Linked DNA regions of Coturnix japonica. The protein of the gene in region 2 purifies or fractionates together with the protein of the main gene of each other region. This does not show direct contact. Links are inferred from orthologs where the notes say so. Each region holds a gene or a part of one and is shown on either strand. Other genes may lie near its edges. The genes, in order: GAN and SFN.

Region 1 (3,817 bases), on a different chromosome or scaffold from region 2:
GCATCTCCAGCCTCAAGGAAGCTGCTCTCCAATTGGGATCTACCTGCCTGCTCTCACTCGTGTAATCCCAAAGACAAACTGACAAAATATTTATTAACAGAAACATTTCAGTTACAGTTATTGCCAAATACAATATAAATTACCACAGCATTCTGCTTATATTCCATGTTATGTTACTATTCCATCTCACTTCATTTATTTCACTACTTGTTTATGTAGCATTCTGTAGCAGGACTCACAATGTTTGAGCTCCGCACATTCCCAGTCCTTGGACGAGTCTCTATTGTACTTAAGCACTGCAATTCTGAAAGACTATGCACTGTGAATTGTTTTGGACTCAGTTGCCATCAGAATAAGGTCAAGCCTCATTCCTTTCATCCAATCCAAAACAGATTTACGCACTGATGTAATTGCATATGCTTATTCTTACACACTAAGCAAAACTTGTAACTCAGTTCCTTGCGTGCTCCTAGGATGATGCTACATCCTCTACTCACAGGTAATGAGAGATATGACACATATATGAGATGTGCCCATTGCTGCCCATAGCTGTGAACCAGCAATATCTGAAGGCTGAACTCAAACAACCAGAAGTGCTTTTATACTCATAAAGAAAGCAAACGTAATGGAGTTCTGAAGTTAATTAAACCCAGCCAGAAAACGATGTGGCTTGTTAGGAAGAATGAGATAACAATATGCAACTACTATCACTGTAGAAATATACATGCTTTTCAATAATAAATTAATAACCTGTAGTAACTGTGAAACATTAAGATGACGAATCAGTCTCTGTATGTATCACATTAGCCATGCACTAATGAAAAGGAGGAACTGTCCCTAAGCAGACACAGCTCAGGCTCCTCAAGCCCTGCCCTGCCTGTGACAGATGGCACTCAACCTGCAAAGTGTGGCTGTGTCTGGATCTGGGGATAACTGCCAGTCCCTGCTGGCTGATGTAGTAACAGAGCATGGTATCACAGCACCCTCTCCTGGTAAGTAACATCACTTCTTGCTCCAGAGGGGGAAAACGGGCTCTACCCAAACCAGAGAGCAAAGAAGTGCTTAGTGCAAAGGTAGCACTGCTGGTGACTGTCCTGGTCACCCGGGAGCTGCCTACAGCCCCAACTCAGGTTCACATCAAGATGAATTTCCCAAACAAATGACACACACTGGCAAGGCAGAAGGACAAAGAGACAATCTGAGCAGCTCCCTACAGGTGCCTCCAGCTGCAGCTGGACATTCAGACTACTGCTATCTCACCTTGTGCCAGCACAGCCCTTGTGGCACTCGCATGACTGATGGGGTACAAAATCAAGAGCTGAACTGGAACTGCATCATACCTTTACTTGAATCCTGTAACTCCCTAGGATGCCACTAAGCAAAAACAGAGAAACGCAGGCCTGGCAGGAACCGGTGCTACAGACAGCAGGTGGCACCAACTCACCTGCGCTCAAACTGCACCAACCAGTGAGACAGGTTTACAGTCACTGGTAAGGAACTGTGAGCCACAAAGCACCTTCTGAGGAACAGCATCAGTCTGGAAACATTTCCGTCAGGTCAACCAAAACCAGGAGGTAGTTTGTCGGAAAGCATTTATTTCCAGAATTTTTCTTCTGCAAACCCTCCTGTCCTGAGCCTTATTTGCTTATAACATTTCCCCATGGCCCCAAAGAAACAAAAAACACCAGGGAGGATCAGTAGCAACTCTTATCTGTCTGCTTCCCATAACCACCTTGACGTGCATTTCCTCTCCAGCTTCTTTTGGTCAGGGCTCACATGGATGTGACTTAGAACAACTAAAAGTCCATTTCATACAGAGATTGAAGTTATATAATAAATTCCCCACTGCTATACGATTTTTATGTGCTTTTATATAGGCTACATTCAAAGATGCAATCTTGTAACAGATTTAGTTCTCTCTGCCATATTTAACTCACTTTGAGATATCTGACAGCAGAGTCTTATTTCAATTCAGTTAAGAAGAAAAAAAAAAAAAAGCAAAGAAATCCCATTTATAGTTGAATGCAAAAAGAAAAGAGTGCAGGTACAAAAGTTTCCCAGTGACACCCGGAGCATGAATTAACTATCCATAAAATTCAGCCTAATGTAAGCTATGTTTAAAGCAGTTACCACATGCAGCGAAGCAGATTCTAAAACAAAAGCCAAGAGATAACAAATGAAATCACCAGAAACAAATTCAAAACAAACAAGAGGAGATCGGCCACGTGTAGCATCTGGAGGCAACTGTGGACTGAACAGCACCCACAGCACCTTTTCTTATGACAAGAATCTACACTGTTTCCAGAGCCAACCAACTGTGACTGCTGATCTGTATGCATTCCCCAGGTTTATAGCTGTAATTAGTTACCTTTTAAATTCATCATGATAAAATTCAGATTTACACGTCACCATCTCGCTGGCTTGGCTGTCATCACGACTCCTGACCCCCCCAAACACATAAAGCTCAGAGGCAACTCCACAGGCCACTGCCCCAAACCTGGGAATCCAGAAAGGAAAAAGAAGCAAAAAACACAATCAGAAGATAAAATAAAACATTCCATCCTTCTGAGTTCTCTCATTTTTTACATGTATTTTTAGATATAACATGTATTGATGAAAAAAAATATATGTATTTACCACTACAGTAATGTATTTATCTCTAGAGAAAAAGCTGAAGTTCCAATTGGATGACAACCTCTACTCTTCATTTTGCTTCAGGATAGCATTGCTTGTGACATGCTAAGCACATTTTGATGGGTTGGATTCTTCTCTTTACTCAGCCACCATAATAATGGTGCTTTAGGAACCATTTTGGAGGGCTCAGACTGGATACACTCCAGCAATCTATCCATCCCTCTCCCCCCAAGCTTCACCTTCACCCACCTTCTCTCTTTCAGAGGACAGATGGCTGTCCACTGTTGAGTCCTGGGGTCGTAACATTCAACAGACTCAAAGAGCTTCCCATAGGAGCCTCCACCCATTGCATAGATTTTCTTCTTCATAGCTGCATAGCAGCCAATCTCAAAGAAAAAAGAAAATTGCACATAAACACGCGATATCCAGAGCTGAAAATTGATTATACACACACTTCTGCACATTTATGTATATTATACATAAACATTCAGTCATGGTTCTAACATACACATTAACAAGGGACCTGCTCTCATTTCCCTGCCACTTGTTAAGAGTTTCTAATTGAAACAAAGCCTTATGATACACAGGATAGTTGAAACTGTTTAACAGCAAGGAAGGTGGTAAAATACAATGTAGCTCTTACCTTTCTAACCATGGTCAAGTCCGGCTGCTTGGTCCAGGTACGGTTATAGATATCGTAACTCTCCATAGAGATTAGTTCCCTTTCACCATCCTCACCTCCCAGAATATACAGAATTCCATCAATCTCCACCACACCAAAATTATGTCGTGCCTAAGGGATATCAATGAGGTCAGCACTGTAAAACATAACTGCTAACTGAGCAGTCAATACAATCTTCTCTCGTGTCTGTCAGACAAGTGATACTGGTATCAATTACTACAGTGGTTTTTCTGTTATTTTTTAATACAATGAAGTCTGAATCTCACAAATAAGATTATTATATTCTCCAATTAAAGAATACAAAGGGTACTAAAAACAAACAAACAGAGCAGCAAAAGCAAAAGAGACCCTGCAGAAACCTTAGAACAGAGCTTGGCCGTATTTCAGTCTGCACAGCAGTGGTCTCCACAATGAAACTTTTCAGGTCTGTACTCTCAAAGTGCATCACAACTACAAACGTGGATTTCCTTTGAGCTCAAGTACAGGCCCTCGACAGCAAGG
Region 2 (3,404 bases):
TTCGTGTTGAAACTCGCGCTCCCAGAGCTGCACCCTTCGCTGTGGCTGAGAGCCAGGGCCAGAAGTGCTGAGCTTTCTCCAGCGCCGGCACATCCACACCTCCATGGGGATGTCCTCACCTCGGTGGGATGCTGTCACCTCCCCTGTGACAGCTCCGTGTCAGTGCTGGAGGGGAAGAGCTGAAACATCCCCCTGTCTGCACGGAGCCCCAGTAATGGGGTTTGGGACACTGTGGGTTGCGTGGTTTGGGTGGGGACACCATGGGGATGGAGATATCATGGAGGTGGGGACATCAAGATGGGGATGGGGACATTGTAGGGATGGGGACATCATAGGGATGGGAAGACCATAAGGGTGGAAACATAATGAGGATAGGGACACTATGAGGATGGGGACACTATGGAATGGGGACACCATGGGGATGGAAACCCTACGGGGATGGAAATACTATGGGGGTGGGGACACCATAGGAACATCTTGGGGATGAGGACAGTACAAGAATGGGAAAACCAAAGGGATGGAGACACCATGGGAATGGGGACATACAATTGCAGGGCTGGAGACCTGGGACATACTCTCCCTATGGAAAACCCACCTAGAAAGCCCATTCTGAGACCCGTCCCTGAGGTCTGGGGCTGGCTGAGTACCCCCACACCCCATGGCGGGGCTGGGAGGGGCTGCAGGCAGCCAGACCTGCACTTTGGAGGCCCCGAGTGCTCCCCAGCATGGCGTGGCACGCAATGGGACCGGCTGTGGGAGCTGCAGGAGCTGCCTGGGCTTGTGCACGACAGGAGAGATGAGGCGACCACAGAGGCAGACGTGCACGAGATGGTTTATTGGAGCCACACAGAGGCTTCGGCAATTCGCAATCCTCCATCCGGGTGGGGGGCACATCAACCCCCCCCCTCCCCTTTCTCCCCATCCCGTCCCATCACCTCCTCCCATTGCCCCCAAGGGACCAGCGGCACGGCTCTAGCCCCCCAAGACAGAGGGCTAGGGCCCCCCCTAAGCTACGCTGGGGTATCCCCCAAACAAAGTGTTAAAGGGGTGAGGGGAGCATGACAAGAACATGGGGGGGGGGAGAAGGAAAGGGGAGGCCCTGCCAAAGGGCAAACATATGGACCCCACTCCCAGAACTGGAGGGGGGGTAAGGGTGGGGGGGCGAAATACCTTCCCCACTCCTTAAAAAAGGAACAAAACAAAAGGAAAAGACACCGAAGGGCTTCGGGAAGGGGAAGGGGAAAGGGGGGGGAGTCTGGGAGGGAGGGGAGGAGGAAGGAGGTGGGGGATGGACCCCAGCTGCATTGGGGGCCGTTCAGTTCTTGGGCTCTTCGCCAGCCTCGCCGCCGTCTTCACCCGCGCACTCGGCTGTCCATAGCGTCAGGTTGTCCCTGAGCAGCTGCATGATGAGGGTGCTGTCCTTGTAGGAGTCTTCGCTGAGCGTGTGCAGGTCCCCCATGGCCTCGTCGAAGGTGGTCTTGGCCAGCGAGATGGCCTGCTCGGGGGCGTTGGCGATCTCGTAGTGGAAGACGGAGAAGTTGAGGGCCAGCCCCAGGCGGATGGGGTTCGTGGGCTGCATCTCCTTTTTGCTGATGTCCATGGCCTCTTGGTACGCCTTCTGGGCGCTGTCGATCGTCTCCTTGCGGTCGTTGCCGGAGGCCACCTCAGCCAGGTATCGGTAATAGTCTCCCTTCATCTTCAGGTAGAACACTTTGCTCTCTGCATCTCCGGCCTTCTTGATGAGGTGCTTCTCCAGCAAGCCCAGCACCACGTTGCAGACGCCCTTCAGCTCCTCTTCCACCTTCTCCCTGTATTCATTCACCAGCTGCGCTTTGTCGTCTCCCTCCTCGGTTTTGTGCTCGATGCTGGAGATGACCCTCCACGCCGAGCGCTGGCAGCCCACCACGTTCTTATAGGCGACGGAGAGGAGGTTGCGCTCCTCGTTGGACAGCTCGTCTCCATGCTCCACCACCGCCTTCATGAAGTCCGCCATGTCCTCATAGCGCTCAGCCTGCTCGGCCAGCTTGGCTTTCTGCACTTGGTGGTTTCTTGCCATGGCTGAGGGCGGATGAGGAGCAGGATGAGACGAGGAGTGGGGCCGGGAGCCGTCGGAGCCTCTGCTGAGCTTCACCGCCCCGATTCGCTTTTGGCTGAGCGTCGGAGCCCCGAGCAAGAGCAGGAGGAGCCAACGAGGCTGAAGGAGCGGCCTCCTCCTCCTCTGCTTCCTCCCCGCAGAGCCCGCCCTTAAAAAGCAAATTGCCGTGAGTCATCATGCCCCGAGGCACAGGGTGATGGGGAAGGGGTGAGCGGGTGGCACCCACCCTGCCCTGGATCAGGTGGGTGCCGGGAGGGAGAGGATGTGTTCAGGGAGTTCATGGTGAGCCCCCCCTGTGTCAATGGGATGTCCCACTGGATCAATGGAGAAGTCTGGATCAATGGGACATCCTATGTCAGTGGGAGACTCTGAAACAATGGAGGAGGGAAGATCAACTGGGGACCCCGGATCAATGGGAAACCCCAAATGAATGGGAGACCTAGAATCAGTGGGGACTCCAGATCAGTGGGGGAGCCTGAACCAGTGGGAGAGCCTGGATCAATGGGATACCCAGACCCACGGGAGACCTGGAATCAGTGGGATCCCGAAATCAATGGGAAACCCCAAATACTTGGAAGACTTGGGATCAGTCAATGGGATCCCCAGATCAATGGGGGACCCTGAGTTAATGGGGGAAACCGGATCAATGGGGGACCCCAAATAAATGGGAGACCAGGAATCAATGGAGATCCCAGATCAATGGGGGACCATGGACCAATGGGGGAACCCTTCCCCATCTGCCAGGAGTGCTCAGAACAGGGAGCAGTGGGGTCGTCACATTGGGGTGAAGCAGGAAAGCGGCAGCACCCAGTGCCCCCATCCCAACCACCCTTAGAGAAACAGCACGGGGAATAAACCTGGCTGTAAAAATGGTCTCCTCCCCAAAAATCCCATCGCTGTCATTTTTATATGATGATTAACTTGTCGGTGATTGCAAGGGCTTGAAGGGCTGGTATTTATTCCCACTGGTGGGGAAATCGAGGCAGGAGGAGCAGCACGTTACCCCAGCACTGCTGCAGGGATCAGGGCCAGGATTGGGATTGGGGCATTCCCAACTCCTCCACCCTGCCTGCTCAGGGGGAATTGCCCTGGCACTTGCAAGTACTCAACCCCAACCCCCCCATTGAACCATCATTGGACATCCCCAAACCCAAGGCAGCTCCACACCCACAAACCCCACTGGATCCCCATTAAGGCTTCTCCACCACCCATCCCCATGTCCCCCACCCTCTCCGCTCATCCCACCGGGGCTCTTTTCTCTCCCTTTACGCTGTACTGGAAGAATTGGGATTATTATTCCTTCTTTTTT

What was found.
Region 1: the proteins of SFN (region 2) and GAN purify together in Homo sapiens (affinity purification with mass spectrometry; 3 studies listed by BioGRID and IntAct, with this or other methods). This does not show direct contact. The link is inferred for Coturnix japonica from reciprocal best matches to the Homo sapiens genes SFN and GAN.

What each region holds. Positions count from the first base shown.
Region 1 is NC_029526.1:13,711,456-13,715,272, reverse strand, and holds part of GAN (gigaxonin), read right to left. Parts: intron 3,428-3,817; coding exon 3,278-3,427; intron 3,021-3,277; coding exon 2,884-3,020; intron 2,498-2,883; coding exon 2,369-2,497; intron 1-2,368. UniProt on the Homo sapiens protein: Probable cytoskeletal component that directly or indirectly plays an important role in neurofilament architecture.
Region 2 is NC_029538.1:1,605,407-1,608,810, reverse strand, and holds SFN (14-3-3 protein sigma), read right to left. Parts: upstream 2,210-3,404; 5' UTR 2,057-2,209; coding exon 1,316-2,056; 3' UTR 817-1,315; downstream 1-816. UniProt on the Homo sapiens protein: Adapter protein implicated in the regulation of a large spectrum of both general and specialized signaling pathways. Binds to a large number of partners, usually by recognition of a phosphoserine or phosphothreonine motif.